4 linked regions of the Daphnia pulex genome follow. The main gene of each other region encodes a partner of the protein of the gene in region 2 in a complex. Links are inferred from orthologs where the notes say so. Each region holds a gene or a part of one and is shown on either strand. Other genes may lie near its edges.

Region 1 (5,460 bases), on a different chromosome or scaffold from region 2:
GCATTACGCTGAGGCCAAACCCTTTTACCTGGCCAGCATTGAGGAGTGAGTTAGTAGGAATGGGAGTACTCTGGTTGCTAAAGAAATGGCACAGCTTTCTAAATCTAAATGTGCAACTGACAGCGCTCCTTCGACGCACCGTTGTCTTTTGTCAGAAGATTGCTCTTTAATAACTGCCTGCGAGACACAAAGAAAGGACATTCAATCGCATACCCATACCTGCTAGGCTTGTCTAGGATAAAGTTCTTTGATTAAGTACCTTGACCAAAGAAGTGACCAACCATGTTGCTCCACCAATTTTGAATAGTTGATCAATACCCACTGTTGTGCTATGGTCTGACCAACCATGATTTAAAATCTTATTCCATAATTTGGTTAACTGATGATCCAAACTTTGATCTTGATTCTCTGAGACGCTTTGTAGGGGATTGTCGTCTTGTGCCAGACGCCGAATGATTTGCAGCATCAATACTGACCTTAATGGAAAAAAGAATTTTATAGTGAACGCGAAAAATCATTTGTTAGGGCATTATCGTAATTTACCTTTCCCTATAATGCTCTTTAGAGTCATCAAGATTCAGGGAAGTCATCAAATGATCGAGCATGCTCGTGGGCTTACTTTTCAGATTTGCTGGTTGTACCTAAAGGAGATGTCCACCGTATTTTAATTCGAATCTTTTTGATTTTTTTTTAATTGGATCTTTTCTTACTTGGATGTAAAATCGAAGCCAAGCGGCAGCACAAACAGACAGACAGCACATTTGAGTCCGTAAAGTATCGAGAATCCTTTCAACTTCTTCATCAGAAACTAATTGTGATTCGTAAGCCCCCAAAATTTCCCGTATTACAGCAGGGACGTGGAAACAAGCTTCGTGCCATCGAACGCTCCTATGAATAGAAATGGGCTTATTATTTTTCAAGAAAAAAATGGCGAGATTATTTTACCCTGATCTAAGGTCACTCTCTCCAGATGTCAAGGCTTTCAATAACTGATCAGTCAACATGGGATCGCAGCGACTTAATGACAAATCAGGCGCCTGATTAGGTTTCAGCCATTCTGAAGCCCACTGCTCAAAGAAAGTCTCCCCTCCTAGTTCACCACTCAGTATCACCTATCGATCATTAGAACAAGTAACATCAGAAGGCATTCAGGTGTGAATTATTAGATGATTTTCATTACCTCAATGCCGTACATTTGCGTAATACGGCAGAGCATTAGAAATGAGATGTCAAAGAGTAGAGCCCTTGCATTTGCAGTTTTACTTGGATCGGAACCAGCAGGTTGGCGATTCGCTTCGTTAAATCGCACGAGTTTTGTGGCAAAAGCTCGGAGTTTACCAGTCCCAGTTGCAGCGTTCAGTATGAGTTCGAAGCTTTGCCCCGAAAGCAAATGAGATAAAACTTTCAACAGCGTGTCCTAAAATGAAGATGTTATTACTTGCTCTACGTAATTCTCTACATTTTCCTTGATTACCTGATTTTTAGCGTAATCAGTATCCAACGTTTTCAGAATACTGGCCACCGTTGGCTCAGCACGAAGAACCAAAGTAGCTATTTGTGTGTTAGTGGTCTCTAACTTCAGACCTCCGCGGGATAGACTTTCTCTTTTGCTGAGGATGCTTGTAACATGCCATTCAGATAAAAGAGATGTCCGTATTTTCACTTCATTTAATAAACCTTCGACGACATTGCAATGGCATTTGGCATCGGTTGTTTCTAAAAGTCCAGGATAGCAAAGAAGGCGCTCAAACGCACCCGCGACTTCCGGACTTGGTTCTCCAATAGGCGAATTTGGATCCAATCCTGGATAAACGAGAATTTAATAGAACAGTTTGAAATTTTAAAATATTGCTAATCGTACCAAAAATTGATCGATGAAGTCGGAGTAGTAATGACGGTGCCTTGAGGAAAGTGAATACAGCCCAACGTAGCTCTCCAGGAGAATCAGCAGTTTCGGCTAGTCCTAGGCAACACGCTCTGAGGATTTCGCAATAGAGCTGGGTGGGTGAATAGCCTCTTAGTTTCTGTAGAACTTCCAACTGTCGAGTCAACTCAAGGCCATCTGACGTGGGGCGAAGCAACGCCTCCCAAGATATTAATGTATGTACGTCTGTGCACAATGAGTTCTCGTAAAAGGGCTTTTCGGGACCATTTTCTTTGAATAGATCATTTTCAAATGATCGGCATTGCCTGTGGAGAATTTGTTTTAATGACCACTCATTGACGAAGAACATCAAATGAAGTACCTCATGACTTTTTCGACAGATTCCACAAGTTTTTCTGATGACGGATTCCCATTAGTAGTTAAATTTTTCAGGTTGGACTCAGTTTGGTTTACAAGCGATGTAAGATGAGTTGCTGAAAACTGATCATTAGTGCAGCAACGTGCAATGTATAGAAGAGATATTAAATAGTTCTCTTCATACAAAGTCCCCAGTAATCCTGTAGTATAATGGCAAATGACTGAATAGTCATTGGTTGCACTATTATTATCAAATAGTTTTTTTAGTCCATCAGACGTAAGACTCCAAAGCCAAGTTTCCAAAGACAATAGAGAAGCAGCTAAAGCAGCAGGCCCATCGCCAGATCCAGTACATGAAATATGTTTCTAATAAATAATATTGTTAAAACCATATCTCAATTTAAGACTGAATGGGAAAAGTTACTATTGATTGCTCCACCAAAAGTAGTAACTCCAAAAGGCATCTGGTTTTCTGGATACTACCTTGAAGGCAGATATTTTCGAAAACAGCACTGTAGGAAACAATCTAAAACACACAAATGGTATGCAATTAAATATTAACAAGCAAAACAAAATGTGTTTAGTAATTGAATTAAAGTTGTGGTTTTACTTGAACATGTAATGAATGCTGTAGATATGACAACAACTTTGAATTTGGAGATGGTCCGATCAAAGCCTGCTGTAAAATGCTTTCTGCTAGATTATATGTATCTCCAGTTGATCCTGCTGGTATTACCTTTATGTAAAGAAAGTTTAATTTAAAACTGGTAAAGATATTTTTTTTTGTTACGAAATTACAGTTAAAGTACCTCTTTGACATATATCCCCCACATGAGATCTGTCCAACGTTCCCTCCAAGCCTTCCTCATCAAGTGCTTGAGCTTTTGCTCTACACTTTCAGTCATCCTCTCGATTATAGAAATTTCAAGCTTAATAACCTAAAACACAATTTAACAAACATATGTTGAAGTACGCCACAATTATTCGTTAAATTCTGAAGGTGAGGTGAAATTTTTGAGTTTGTGGTTTGTAGAGGAGCGTTCAAAGCAGACGACACGGTATACCATAAACACCCCAGCGGTGAAAAGTGGAACTACAAATCATTTTGACATTTTCGCGTGGAATTCAAACTACCAGCAGCAACGAATCGACCAATTAGTGTTTTACGTGCTTAACAAACGATCCCCCACTTGAAGGCCAATCCGTGTTCGGTGTTTTCAGAACCAAATCAATTTGACAATTTTAGTATAAAACAAAATAAATCTATGTTAAAACTTTTAGTTTTAACATCGGTTTACGTAACAGAAAGAATTTGGTCGCGGTTAAATGGTACACGAATTTTGTATGTATTTACGGATAGCTTTCATAACATGTGCACAAGAAATTTACCAATAGAATTTGCAGTGACAGGGATAAATTGTATTTATTATATAAAGTACTATATAGTTGCAAGAGGAAGGTCGGAATGAGATTGCTTGTTAGTTGTGACGAATTAAACGGGTTGATCAAACCCGTTGCCGACGTCTCGTCGGTCTCCAGAAAAATCCCCACTTCCCATGCCAAAGTGTCGATCTTCGGAATTATCTCCACTACCGGCTTGATGATGATCTAACGAATCTCCACTTCCAACTTCTTGAGATGATTCATATTCGTCTGTTAGAGGAACAGAATTCACGTTCAACGAAGTCTTTTCCGTACTTGAAGGCTCAAATCCGCTGCCGCTGCTGTCCGTATTTGTTGTAGCTATTCATGTTTAATCAAAATAATTTCAGCCATGACCGTCCGTGTATGCGATGATCAAAATATTACGACTACACCTGGTGGTACTGGTAAAAAGTCACGTTCATCGATTTCCGTATCATCACTCTCGGGTAAATCAGAAGCGATAGAACTCATTTTCTTTTCCATATCCTCATATTTTTCTATCTCCATGTGAGTACCATGGTCTTTTCTAGCTTCCGCTTCTGCCTGTTGACTGCAAAAATAGATTTTTTAAATTTTATTTAAAAATAAATAAGAATGTAAAGACTGAAGAAATTGAGAAAGTAGAACAATCTCCGATTTCTCCTCTTGTTGGATATTTATACTGTGCATGTACCGGTCATTATATGATGAGATGAGAAGCCCGACAATGGTCACGGTGATGATAACAATAGCTAAAATAAGGGCCAGTGTCAGCAATACGATTCTTCTTCTCAAGAACATCCTGGTTGGTGTTGAGTTACTATTTAAGGTAGGCTGGTTCTCGTGGACTATAATTAACAAAAAAAAAAAAAATGGCGTGAGATGTCGTGCTCAACTGCGTTGGAAAATGACATGAATCAATCGACACTTTTATTTTGAATTGTGCGTCATTATTACGGTACTATTTTTTGTGTTTTAGTTTGATTATGAATTCGGGAAATGTTGCAGCGTTCTGAAAAGTGAAATATTTTTTGTTTTGCATACACGCAGAGAAAGTTGGAGAGCCGATGAAGAACTTAGCGCGTGCTAAAACTTGAAAGGTTTATTTTTTTTTATTTTTTTAACGCTTGAAAGAGTCTTGTTGACAGGAGTTGAGAGGGACTGAAGAGAGGTCAGTAATTGCGACTTGTTAACATGGAACCGCTTTGAAGCAGATGATTCGTTGTGTAGGCGATTTGACACACCGAAACAGTTAAAACCAATCTCATTTCTGTGTAGAGCACTTGTAGTTTACGTGCGTGTTTTTAAAAGTTAAGTTACCTAGCTTAGCTACTTGATTCTTCATAATCTTGTCAAGACTTTTGAGACGTGACAGACCTTATAATTCAAGGAAAGTAAACAAATCAAATGCGCATGCAGATACTACGCTGGACTATATCGGCGCCCGTGAAGCTGTAATCTAATCCTCTCTCAGCATGAACCCAACTTGGGAGATAACCCCGGGTGTAAAAGCAATAATAAAAAATTTGTAGCGTGGATACAGATGTTTTCCCTCGATACTTGGTTAAGCGTATAGCACATAACCAAGTGGTGGAGACGAAATACGGGACTCGAATTAAATGTAATAAAGTCTTACACTTCGAATTTCTCTTTCATTTAGGTTAAACGATGTTCGTAATTTTTGTACATTTTGGAAAAATAGGCTGCGTTTTGCGTTACGTTACGTTATGTAAAAGAAAATTGGGGAGAACTGGGGATATTTGTGTGTGGAAAATTTTTTTCAGATCGACAGTAAATATTTGTACCTTTGAATT
Region 2 (4,174 bases):
CGCATTTACAATGATCGTTAATTTTTTGTAGGAAAAGGCCGAGTGGGGTGAGCACGAGCAGTTGTTGAGAGGTGAGAAAGATTCACTCGCAACTCTTAGTACGCACCTTCAGCAACAACTAGACGAGCAAACGACTGAGCATCGCATCCATTTGCAGCGGATCAAAAATGAATCGGAAGGTTTGCTAAAAGACAAAAATCAGCTTATCGAACAATTGGTATGAGATCAAAAGTTTTAAACTATCTCATGAAACGATTGTTGCATATGGCTTTGTTGATTCAACAGAATGCAGCCAAGGAAGGACGAGCAAAGGAAAATAGTGCGTGGTTAGAAAAACAGACGAAGCTAGAAGAAGAAATTAAGGCGCTGAAGGGTAATTTAAGTGAAGCTGAAGACCTATCGGCAACCCGCTATCAGCGCTGTGAAGAGTTACAGGCATCGGCAGAGAAATATCACACACTTAAGATTGGTATGATTTTTTTTTTTTTTAATTTGGGTTTTGTTTTTAATGGTGCTTAAATCAATTTCCAATGCAGAGCTTGAAACTCGGGTAGCGTTGCTGGAGGAGGGAAAAACAGAACTGCAAAACAATTGCAATCAATGGGAGAATGAAGTGGACAGACTTAAGTTCAACGCTGCTGAACTACGTCGTCGCCTAGAAGATTCGCAAGCTGCTTTACACGAACTCGGCCGAGAAAATCAGAGTCTTCAGGTATAAATAAAAAATCGACAAACATTTTCATTTATAAATTGACAAAATGGTTTTCTTCGTTACATCAGATGGAAAACGCCAAATTGCAGGGCCGAAAGTGGGCGGATGATTCCGAAGTGAATGATTGTCTGAGCTGCCAAAAAGGTTTTAATCTAACGGTTAGGAAACATCACTGCCGCAACTGCGGCCAAATCTTTTGCAACGAGTGTTCTAGTAAATCGACTGCCGTTGGTAATAGCCGGAAACCCGTCAGGGTTTGCGATTCATGCTTTAAGGAGTTGACTATAAACTCTCCGCGCTAAAATACTTATTATATTCCGTGTCGCCCTCCCCCCCTTTTTTAATGACGTTAATTATGAGTGTTTATGTTCAGTTTACGATGATTGAAGTGCTCCATTTGAGATATTATAAGGGAGGCGTGTTTGGTATTCTGATTTCAATATGAAATAAATGTGTATTTGGTCTAGTCCTATTATCTGTTGTATGGGTGCGCTTGGCTGGCCGCTTTGATGGTTGTCTTGATAGTACTTGTTGTTTTCCCTGGAGCCGGACCAGGCTGTGCGCGTCCTGGACCTTTATATTGAAGACGATGTGTTGGAATTTTTGCAATTTTAGAAGCAAAGCAAGCATAATTAACTCACCAGGTTGAGTTGGAGCAGCTGTAGGAAGGGTTTTAAGGTTCTTGCCCAATCCCACAGCAGCAATCAGAGCGTGCGTATCGGCTATAATACAAGTGTGGGCTGCATTTGCTCGGACAGTAGCTTCATTTTCCCAATCTTCTCTTGAATGTGTTATTTGCTCCAAAACATGATTGACCACTTTATTCATTGCATTGATTTGCTTTTGTGCTGTCTCTGGTGGAACCTTTAACAATAAAGAAGTTGTAAGATTTTATGTTATTATTTCTGTTAAAAGTATTCTTACCTGTAGAGCACGTTGTTCAAATTGATTTTGACGTTGTTCCACATCTGGATCAGGTTTTGTTCTCAGCATATCAGGTGTTATGTCATGTGAAAAGGCCACAACACGCCCTTCTGTTGCTTGTTTGAGCTCTACAAATAAATGTTTGATGATAATCACTCATACCAGCAAGTATGCATAGTAAGTGCAACTTTACCCTCATCTGGATCAGGGCTCAAAACTAGAGGTAAAACTATGAGGTTTCTCAAAAGTGGAGTTTTATCATTCTTCATAACTTTCAGCAATGTATTCATCTGGTTTGACGATTTAAAATTAGTCTGAATTACTTGCTAATGTCTTAAGCATAATTTACCTGGCCAGATATAACGGCGTAGCTATCCAAAACAGAAGGCCAACTGAGGGATCCATATTCATTTTCCAAACGAAATAACAGAGTTCGGATAGAAGTCTTTAGGTCATTAATTCGCTGAAGCAAAGCTTCCAAAGCGGCTTCCTGATTTGAACGTTTTTTGTAAGTTTGGGATGAAAATTTACCTCAATTCTTAAATTATATAATTACCAGCTGTTTCTCTTCACGCTGCATCTTGGTTATAAATTATGAGAAAGCTCTTTTAAGTTTTAATTCACATAAACTGATGTGATGCTTTTGTAGCTTGCTGCTTGCTAGCTTCAACCAAATGTCAATCACAAAAATGTCGTCTGCGTTTGTTGCATAAGCCCTCTAGTGTCAAATTATCAAGACTTAGCCATTCCGTTGGTTCGTCTGCTTGAGAAATTATTTGTTCAAGTTCTCATTATCATTTAGGTCGAGTAAAATAGTTTTTCCCATAATAAAATGCCGTTTATGAAAGGTCCTGCTCCGATCCGAAGAACTTTGGAGTATTTAGACCGAAATAAGTTGGTGTTAAAGGATAGAGTCAAGATATTTTCGATCAACTACAACACAAAAGGTGAAAATCACGAAGGTGCCCGACAATTCGTGTTTTGGCACTTGCCTCAGTTACAGTACAAAAACCCCAATATTCAGATAGCTACCTTCAAGAACTTGACTCCTAGTCCATTTATACGGTGTTATTTAGGTAACTAAAAAAATATTACATTTTTTTCAAATAAGTAACAAATTTCATGTTCAGAAAACGGGGAAGAGGTTCTAATGGATGTTGATTTCAAGTCAAAAGATGAGATCTATGAAAGAGTACGCAGGATTATTTGCAAATCAGAGTAAGTTGTTGAAACAATTATGTAAGATTAAATGCCAAATAATTATTAATTGATTGATATCTAGAGAAACACTGAAAGCTGAGGATAAAATAGAAAACCCAGCTAATTTTGGAGCTAAATGCAGCAGACATTGCATCTGTGAGGTACCTGGTCAGTTACCTTGCCCAGCTCTTATTCCTTTGCCAAATAGTTGGAGAGGAAAGTACAAGTTTCAAAAGCCAGATGAATTATAAATGAATTACAATTGCCCCACAATGTAGTCAAATAAAAAAAAATTTTTGAGAATATTATGCAATTCTGCTTTTATTATTAAACTGTTTGACAATTAACGTAGTTATTGCATTTGAGGAGCCATTAAGTCCATGTCGACACACTCGCGTGCAATCTTTACTCCCAAGGCGAACAAAGCCACGCTCTTCACCAACGACCTAAGATAAAAAAAGATTCTCTTAGTGAGTGTTTCATAAGTTAATGGGATTATATAAAACTTACCATCTGAAAGGGTCGTTGTAAAAACTTTTAATGAACTGCATTTTACCAGCTTTTTTGTTTGATCTTTCCATAGCAGCTTTTAAGATTTACTTTGGTTGTGATAAGCTTGAGAGTTGAAGCAGACGGTTTTTCTGATTATCGACATTGCGAAGTATGCATTACGCAAATAATTGATAAAAACTACTTGGAACTAGAACCAGAAAATTTAATCATTTTGCAAGTGTTAAATTAAATTGTATCCATAATGTTAAAAATAATATGATATCAATATTGTTGAATAATTTTTTTTGTTGTTGCGAGAATCGTTCCTCCTTTGTTTCTCGATCGTGTGATGTCTGCTTCTGTCAATTCTCGGCTTCTCGCGGTCGTCTGAAAAGTGAAAAATGAATTAGCCCCTCGAATAGCTAGTTGTTGTTGATTCCGAATTTGACAAAATGGACTTAATAGAAAATATGACATTTCGAACACCAAAACAAAAAGCTTTGGTGTTACAACTTTATAAAGATCTTAAATTCGGTATAATGTTTGTTAATATTCTGTTGTTGAATTTTCTTTTCTCATAAACTGTTTTAGTTAGGGGGAACGAAGATGTGAAGATACATCAGTGTGATGAGTTGGATTTAGTGTACATTACAGGATACTTGCCTGATGCTGAGAGACAACAGGAAATCTTTTTGCCATTAGCTGCAGATGAAGCAATTTCAATGAAAAAAATAGGAGAAGTTCAAAAATGTCTGTTTCATCGACACAAATCATCAAGGTAAATTATTGTTTCATCTAAGGCTGCTCAGGTTTAAACAATCAGATTAATTATTGTATTTGATTCAC
Region 3 (4,131 bases), on a different chromosome or scaffold from region 2:
GATAACCCGAGATTTGTCGCCTTCCAAATAGAGATACGGAAGGTCTTCTGGCGAATAGAGAACGGCTCGTTTTTTGCCAGTGACTTGGACAAGAAGATTGTCCATCACATCGTAATGTGTCCACAACTGAACTCCTTCAGAAGCCACCCTGAGGACACTTGAAAAAATAGTGCTTGGTTCCAAAAACTTGGGAACTTGAAAATCTTGGCAAAGTTCAGGATAATGAGAATCAAGATTGGCAACCTCTCTTCCCCTTGAATCAGTTCCAAGTGCCCTTAAATAGTAAACTTCACTGTTTGTTAGAAAAAAGTTTTCGTGCTCATTTTCAGAAGACCTTTTGATTACTTGATCAAACGGCAGTGTTTTATAATGAAAGTTTTTGGTTAGGAAATTCATTTGCCCTGTTTCAGATACATGAATCTTCACTGGCTTATTCCCAACATTTTGCGAAAGATATTCAGCTGTCCACTTTCCTAGACAACTTCCAATGTCTAATCCTCTGAGTATGACAGGACTTCGTTTGGGATGGATCTCATCAAAAAATTGTTCCATTAGGATATTGTTATAGACGGGAACTGGGCTGACTTTTCTTTCAGTCATTTTAAAATTTACTCTACTAACGAAAGATGATCACGTGTAAAAACTTGCTTTGGCTATAACAATTGAATGTTACCTGCAAGGCGAAATGATAAAACTAATAACTATCGATAGACCGGTTCAATATACAGTTAAATTAACAGCAATGCACTTACCAAAAGCAGAGAATTAACTTCAACGGTATTGTTGTTTCGAATCAACTTTCAAGAGGAAAAATTTGAAGGAAAAATATGTTACAGCGACTGCAGACGGACTAAAACGAATAAACAACGTTGCAATTTGATCTAGATGTTTAATTTAGGTGGATCATCAACATTTATCAACTAAAATACAAATAGAAAAATCTATTGCAATAATTATTTTAAAATAAAAATTCTTAAAAAAAAATAAATCACCGAGATTATGTTTGTCCCAAAACGATTAAAAATAAAACAGCAGACTATTTTACATCAGAAAGGCGAGTAGATCGAATGTATTTTCCACTTTGAATAAACATAAAATAACACAGAATTCACAAAGAATCAATCATTTGACACAGAACACGATCCTCCTCAGTACACCCATTCCCAGAAGTTTGGTTGCTTGCATTGCCTTCTGAAGGTTGAACCCGTTCAACATCTATAAGGAGCTTGATGTTGCCTTCAGTTGGTTCAGGAATTGTGTTGACAGCCTGCTGAACCAATTCCCAAGCTTTGTCAAAATGTCTTCTGAAACGCTCTGCAATTTCCAATCTTTGTCGTTTTTGTTGTTCTAGCATAACTCTAAGAGTTTCCCTTGCTTGATGAGGCCGAAATTCATTGACCAGATGATGCATGTGAATGAAAAGCAAAGTGAGGTCATCAATTTTTGTGGCTCTTGCTTCAGACTCTGGATTTCGTATGCAGATATCAACCAAGTCAAGGAAACTAGCAGTGATGGAGTGATTGAGCTTTTTCAGTTCTCTTCTGTGGTCATAGTTATTAGGGTACAGACGTCGTATATTCTGGAATAGTAAAACGAGTATTAAAGAAAGCTTTGATTAAGAAAAAACTTCTATCACCTGGCTTTCAAGAGGTCGGATCACAGCATCATCAGTATTATATGGATTACCAAACATGGAATAATTGTCTGTGATCGGAGGAGGTGGTCTCGGTGTTCTTCCTCTTTTAGCGTTTTCTTCATTAAAAAGACTGACATATTGCATCGGTGGCAAAGGTAATGAACTAACTTGAGCCGTTTCTGACATTTTTACTTTCCCACTGGAATGAAGCAATATAGTAATGTAAACAATATAGTTTGTTTTCAAGAATGAAGAATGTGACGTTTTCTAGTTCGTTTGCTTGGGGATTTCAGCAGACTATTTTTTGATCAATGTTCTCCTTTTTGTGGCTGTCCCGACACGCCATTCTTGAATGGAAACAAATTTGATTTAGAATGTTGTAAAAGAATTCAATTTTACATTAAATTGTCATTAAATCAATTAATCGTTGTTTATTTTTTTATTTTAAATGTATATTTCCTCGATTTTATCGCTAATTTTCGGAGGAAATTAAATCCGATAATAGTTGTCGGCAACTGCCGCTAGATCTGTCCGAGTTGCCAGTATTTAGAGAGGTTTGGAGAGCTTTTTCTTCGTCCTGCTTTCATTCTCTTCGTACCAGGGTCCAGGGAGAAAGACAATGAACGAAGTTATAACAGCTTTATCAAGTGGGGACTACTTTTTTGATTAGTGATCGTTTTGTAAGTATGTTTAAAAGCTCTGCCAAACCTCTTGCAGGTGAGGTAAAAAAGCAAGGCAATTTAGTGAAACGATCACAGAACAAGAAGAGGTTTAGTTTGATCAACTACAAGAGTCGATGGTTCGTCCTTACCACAAAGTTCCTCGCCTACTACGAGGGCGAATGCGAGGTAAGGTTTAGTTCTACTAAACACGCATGGACTGTGTTCGTGAATCCCTTCATCACTAATTCATCACAACCATCAATTCCAAACAACAGAATCGCAAAGGAAAAGAAAAGGGACGTGTCGACCTCCAAACAGTGAAAGTTGTGGAAGCTGTTGATCCAGCACCTGACACACCTGCCATCGGTCCATTGGCAAACCTTACAGGTTCCATTCCGAGTGATTTGAAGGGATCTCCTGCTTTTCAGATAGTGTACAATCCTTATGAGTGTAATGAAGGTTGTAGTGCAACAGACTTGACTCTTTGCATTTTCACTCCCACTCAGCAAGAAAGAGATATCTGGCTTTGGAATATCCGAGTTGGTGAGAACATTCTCTTTTGACGTCTCAAGTAGTTATGTGTGACAAATAGCAGTATTTATCTCACATGTTCATTTTATCTCATCTAATAATTTATTTTATTTTTCTCCTGATAGTGGTCAAAGACAGTGCTCCTCTTGTGAATGTGTATCACCCTGCCCTGTGGGGGAATAGAAGTTATCTTTGCTGTGGATCAACCCAAAGGTCCACGTCTAAGGCAATAAACGGTTGCCGTTCTGTAACTTGGGCTCCCAATACACTTCAACACATGGGCATCAATTTCAGTAACATCATCCACCATCCGTCTCCCTCACCAAGTCCTGTCGCTAAACCTGCGAATGGGGCTGAAGTCGAGGCGGCCATGGTCAAACCAACGGCGATTAAACCCACGACGGAAATTCATCCGGCAATCGTCGGGGATGTTGTTCCTGCATCCCCTTCCACTTCTCACAACGCCGTTGTTGCGTTAGGTACTATACCCGCTTATGTATCCTACTAAGTGCTAACTAATGATTTACACCCGTTCGTTGCCTGCAATACTTCTAGGAAACAGTAGTTGTACGACTTCTAAGTACATGAACAACAGTTAATGTTGAGTTATTTCGCATCAAATCCTTAGTCAAGGACTTTGGGAGGGAGGGGGATTTAAGCCAATAGAAGCACATTCTAAGAAACTGCGTCGTTGGAATAGATTCAATTTGTTTTCCTTGTAAAAAAAACTAAATGGATAAAGTTATTACATCCACTTCACTTGCGAAGCTAAATTATCGGATAGCTGAAAAGATCAACTAATTATTAGAAAACTAGAGAAGTGAGTGTTGCGTGTGGCGCTGCAGTGGTTTAGAGAAAGAAAACTTGTGTGAGATTGGTACTGGCAATATTCATGAAAATTTTCTCTATTGAAAAATGTTGGGGATTTGCGGTCGGTCGGAGAGAAGAAGACCTAGAGAATGCACACAAGCTTGTTTTTCCCCGAGATTTTTTTATTCCTTTCGGCGGTTTTTAGTTCTAGCCCTCTCCCTGTACTCAGTGGGCACTGACCGCGTCTCTCATAAATCACGTTTCTTTTTCTCTAATGACGAGAAGAGGACTGCACATCTCATCAAGTCCCGTGTGAGAGCGAAAGCAAACGACAAACTGGACTATTCCTACGCGAAAGTGTGGGAGAGATGATGAAGCCAGCACAGCACAGTCTCTCATATCTCTCAGAAAAACAGCCTACGTTTGTTTCATTCAGATACTGAAATAGTTACCTGTCAGTTCGATTAGTGTTGCGCTTGTGTTTACGAGATA
Region 4 (3,792 bases), on a different chromosome or scaffold from region 2:
ACAAACTGCAGGATCAGGATTGAGAATAATCCACGTCATTATTTAGTGCTGCAATAACAAATGTATCAAACTTAAAAACAAACACGTTTCGAATTTTTATTCGTCTACTTTTATTTTGATTATAGACGACCTTGACTATCTTTACTACGGCTGCATTCTGTTTAGATCGTCGTCAAGCGCCACTTGCTCGGTCTACACACGTCAAGAATGGCTGATATGCTGAACATTTCGCTGGTAAACGAATTGAATTATGAAGATTTCATCAGTCGATTCGGTAATGTAGTTGAACATTGTTCAATTTGCGCGGCGGCAATTTGGCGTAATCGCCCATTTCGTGACGTTCATCATCTCCACCAAGAAATTTGCTCGTTTTTGGACCTCCTTCCGGACACAGGTTAGAACTATTTAGTTACAGGCTGCTTGAATGCTTATTTATAGCCAATCAATTGAACATTTGTTTTCTCATTTGATAGGTAAAGAGGGGGTGCTAAGACTTCACCCTGATTTGGCTGGCAGGCTAGCTGAACTTGGCAGCCTAACACAGGAGAGTACTGCTGAACAGAAAGCTGCTGGTTTAGACACAATGACACCTGGTGAAAAACAACTGCTAGGAGAGACCAACATCAAGTATGACAAATTACTGTTCTATAACTATATAGTAACTAATGAGCTGTGTCTTTTGGGCTATTATTTTAATAGATACAGAGAAAAGTTTGGATTTCCTTTTGTTATCTGTGCCAGGCAGAACAAGAAGGAAGCAATCTTGAAAGGAATAGTTGAGAGATTGGAACACTCAGCTGCTGAAGAACTAAACATTGGGATTGAAGAAGTGAAGAAAATCTGCCTTTTGAGGTTGTTGAGTATAGTAACTGATGACAAATCTCGTAATATGTAGAGATTTTCCACTCGCTCCCATCAGTTGAGGTCAACAGCAGCTATTCCATTCTAAACATTCTCACTCAAAACAAGTCTTCCAAAACATATGTGTTGTTAACATTTTGTCTGGTAGTTTGCAAAAACTCAACACAAAATACAGCAATTTACAAAAATTTGTCTATATTGTCTTGCATATACTTGCCCAATATAAGAGAAGTTTAAAAAGTTCCTTAAACAATAATTATCATGAATCAAACACTTTTCTGGGGTGTTGGCTCATTCTGAACAGTCATCATGTGCTTCTCAGCTTGACTTTGAAGAAGACGAACCCTCTTTCTAGTGTAATGTTGCCAGTGAAGGATTTGTTGATCATCAATGAAGCGAGCACACTGGCCATTCACAACCTCCTTTCTGAAATGCTCATATTGAAGCAAGTCTAGGAAATGCAAACACATTGGGTACCTGGAAAATAATGAAATTGTAATTTCTAGTTAGGGTAAATTGCAAGTGAATTGGTGTACTTCAAATATTTTGCATAAGCAGGCTCCTTCCAATACTGTAAATACTTGATGTAGTTGACAAACGCCGGATCCTTAAAATAGCCACGTTGAGCAAGGACTAGTGTAAACAAGGCATAATGAAAGTGTTGATTTTAAAAATAGACCAAATACTTACAGTGCAGATAATTTGGATTTGCGAAACATTGCACAAATTCTAGTTCCACCTGAAATCGAATCCTTTGTTGTTCATCAGTTTCTACCCATCGGAAAAAGGAATAATAACATAGCAATGAGAATCTGTATTGAAAACGACTACACTTCACGATATATTTACCTCTGGTGCTCATTGCGAAGCAAACAACGAAATAACGTAGTTTGCTTCAACAGTTTTGGAAATCTAGAAACGAGGCAACCGGACAGAATGGAAACGTCAGACAACAACTTGAAATGGAAATTGGAAAGCGTCAACTTTTGCAATTTGTCGTCTGCTTGATCAATTGATGCCATCTAGAAAGAAATCGAGAAAATATTAAAAATTGAATTAACTTAAAAAAATTTTTACAAAATAAAAAAAAAATTAAAACGATTTCAAATTTCATGCCCACAATTTATTAATGTGTGTGGTGGCCTTATCACACAGTTTGATTTCCGAATTTGGATAACATTTTGCGGTTGCGCTGCGCCGTAGGACCCTAATAAACCATGAAGCCGCAGCTGATAGGCTAGACGGCTAGACTATACTAACTTCAGTTTGCACCGTGAGTTATTTTATTTTCCTGTAGGAGGTAAGATCAATAGAAGAATTTAGATGGAATATGGAGTTGAAAAACAAAAATACCAAAATAAAAAAGTCAAATCAGAAAAATTATGAATTCAGCAGGAAAGGCGAACGGAAAAATAAAAAGATGGAATATATTACCGTGTGATTTCCAGTTGTTTCACATATGCGACATTCTACGCCTCCGTTACTATTTTATCGTCCTTTTCCAGAACGGAAATATTTGAAAGTAGGCTAATCAAAAATATTCAACCCAAACGAAATCTGTTGAAATTTTTCTTTGACTTTTGTTCTTATTTTCGCCACTTTTGATCGGATATCCGGTGCGGGGGCGATAGCATTCTACCATGTATAGGTCAGAAATATCATCTTAAAGTGTCATATCTACTCCGTGTATACGTGACATCCGGATAATGCACGCGGCCGTGAGGGCGGTGTATCATGTCTGAGTGCATATTCACGTATTGTACATGTGGTAGGTCTATACTACGTAGCCATCCTCCTGCGCACTCGGCGGATGTATAATGGTTGGTTCTCACCTACGGCCCCGAGTTTTCCGGTAGACCATGCGACAATCAAGAGGATGAACGTATCAATCTTAATTCCCTGGTATTATCTAATAATCGTGCTTGAAATTCCACTCTTCTATGATTATAAGTTCAATCAGCAAAGTGACGTGATTGGAGTAACAAATAGATTCAACGCGGATTTCTGCCGTCGGTCCGGGATAAATGATGGAGTAATATTCCATCATTGATAGCACAGAATTCAGTAGAGCGTAGGTAGCAACAGGTGGCGTGACATGACAAAAATGATCCAGCTGTTGCTGAGGCAGTGTGGGCTTTTATCAATCACCTGCCGCTTATTGCCTGACCCATATCAGCCTTTTTTTTTTTTACCTGAGGAGTTTCAAATTTTCGTGGAAAAGATTCTCATTACATTTCCCCGCCATATTAATAACGCTTTTGCCACTAGGTAGACGAACCGGTGGGCGGTGGCACGTGCGACGGACAATGCCCAAAAACTGACTCCGCCTCGTCTCTATACTTTCGGCAACTGTTGTGATGTTAACCTGCCGTTGAAGGCAATTACAGCAAGCCCCCGATTCCATTTGCGTCACGTCGCCGAGTATATAGCAGTCGACGCAGAGAGGGGGGGGGGAAACAAAAAATTAAACAATGTAATAAACAAAACAAAAGGGCGACGCGAAATCTTATTAACGCAAAATATTAACGTCAAACAACTTGTCGACGCGTCAACGAAAATGGCAATCATATGCAGCCCACTGCTGGGGTACATCGTATTTTTTAACTAGTCTAGTAGACGAATCATCATCTTTCTCCTGAACCTTTTGCTTCAAATGAACTGAGACTAGACATTAATATTTATCTGATCGCGTTATTTACAAAACAGCAAAGCGCATAGCATACAACTTATTAATCTAATGGTACTCAGCAGTAAGCGTGTTATACGTCGTATTAGGATGACAAGTTTCCTACCAGGTGAAATCTTCATTCGTGAATATTCAAGTGAACATCTGATGCGATTTCGCATTCATTATTCAAATATTATAAAGAGTAGTACAAACACATTATATAGCTAGCGCTTTTAGCTGGGTAGCTATATGAAAATTGAGTG

What was found. The genes of interacting proteins can lie anywhere in the genome.
Region 1: mediator of RNA polymerase II transcription subunit 8-like (region 2) and mediator of RNA polymerase II transcription subunit 24-like share a complex: the UniProt entries of both Drosophila melanogaster proteins name them as parts of the mediator complex. The link is inferred for Daphnia pulex from reciprocal best matches to the Drosophila melanogaster genes MED8 and MED24.
Region 3: mediator of RNA polymerase II transcription subunit 8-like (region 2) and mediator of RNA polymerase II transcription subunit 7-like share a complex: the UniProt entries of both Drosophila melanogaster proteins name them as parts of the mediator complex. The link is inferred for Daphnia pulex from reciprocal best matches to the Drosophila melanogaster genes MED8 and MED7.
Region 4: mediator of RNA polymerase II transcription subunit 8-like (region 2) and mediator of RNA polymerase II transcription subunit 31-A-like share a complex: the UniProt entries of both Drosophila melanogaster proteins name them as parts of the mediator complex. The link is inferred for Daphnia pulex from reciprocal best matches to the Drosophila melanogaster genes MED8 and MED31.

Annotation. Positions count from the first base shown.
Region 1 is NC_060019.1:9,366,136-9,371,595, forward strand, and holds the start of mediator of RNA polymerase II transcription subunit 24-like, read right to left. Parts: upstream 3,340-5,460; 5' UTR 3,148-3,339; coding exon 3,052-3,147; intron 2,979-3,051; coding exon 2,853-2,978; intron 2,769-2,852; coding exon 2,667-2,768; intron 2,609-2,666; coding exon 2,247-2,608; intron 2,191-2,246; coding exon 1,862-2,190; intron 1,804-1,861; coding exon 1,475-1,803; intron 1,418-1,474; coding exon 1,181-1,417; intron 1,113-1,180; coding exon 946-1,112; intron 889-945; coding exon 711-888; intron 642-710; coding exon 544-641; intron 477-543; coding exon 260-476; intron 178-259; coding exon 29-177; intron 1-28. UniProt on the Drosophila melanogaster protein: Component of the Mediator complex, a coactivator involved in the regulated transcription of nearly all RNA polymerase II-dependent genes.
Region 2 is NC_060023.1:11,386,487-11,390,660, reverse strand, and holds mediator of RNA polymerase II transcription subunit 8-like, read right to left. Parts: upstream 2,355-4,174; 5' UTR 2,217-2,354; coding exon 2,193-2,216; intron 2,127-2,192; coding exon 1,986-2,126; intron 1,927-1,985; coding exon 1,830-1,926; intron 1,765-1,829; coding exon 1,637-1,764; intron 1,577-1,636; coding exon 1,354-1,576; intron 1,286-1,353; coding exon 1,185-1,285; 3' UTR 1,147-1,184; downstream 1-1,146. Other genes in the region: early endosome antigen 1-like, read left to right, coding at 32-217, 286-469, 537-712, 781-1,014; probable 28S ribosomal protein S25, mitochondrial, read left to right, coding at 2,469-2,712, 2,767-2,854, 2,919-3,087; protein CutA homolog, read left to right, coding at 3,781-3,862, 3,920-4,106. UniProt on the Drosophila melanogaster protein: Component of the Mediator complex, a coactivator involved in the regulated transcription of nearly all RNA polymerase II-dependent genes.
Region 3 is NC_060019.1:10,646,805-10,650,935, reverse strand, and holds mediator of RNA polymerase II transcription subunit 7-like, read right to left. Parts: upstream 1,959-4,131; 5' UTR 1,823-1,958; coding exon 1,637-1,822; intron 1,580-1,636; coding exon 1,109-1,579; 3' UTR 1,040-1,108; downstream 1-1,039. Other genes in the region: tyrosine-protein kinase Btk29A-like, read left to right, coding at 2,323-2,484, 2,574-2,841, 2,955-3,308. UniProt on the Drosophila melanogaster protein: Component of the Mediator complex, a coactivator involved in the regulated transcription of nearly all RNA polymerase II-dependent genes.
Region 4 is NC_060024.1:13,244,696-13,248,487, forward strand, and holds mediator of RNA polymerase II transcription subunit 31-A-like, read right to left. Parts: upstream 1,865-3,792; 5' UTR 1,724-1,864; coding exon 1,711-1,723; intron 1,633-1,710; coding exon 1,552-1,632; intron 1,495-1,551; coding exon 1,398-1,494; intron 1,339-1,397; coding exon 1,128-1,338; 3' UTR 1,040-1,127; downstream 1-1,039. Other genes in the region: 2-oxo-4-hydroxy-4-carboxy-5-ureidoimidazoline decarboxylase-like, read left to right, coding at 208-394, 474-627, 700-895. UniProt on the Drosophila melanogaster protein: Component of the Mediator complex, a coactivator involved in the regulated transcription of nearly all RNA polymerase II-dependent genes.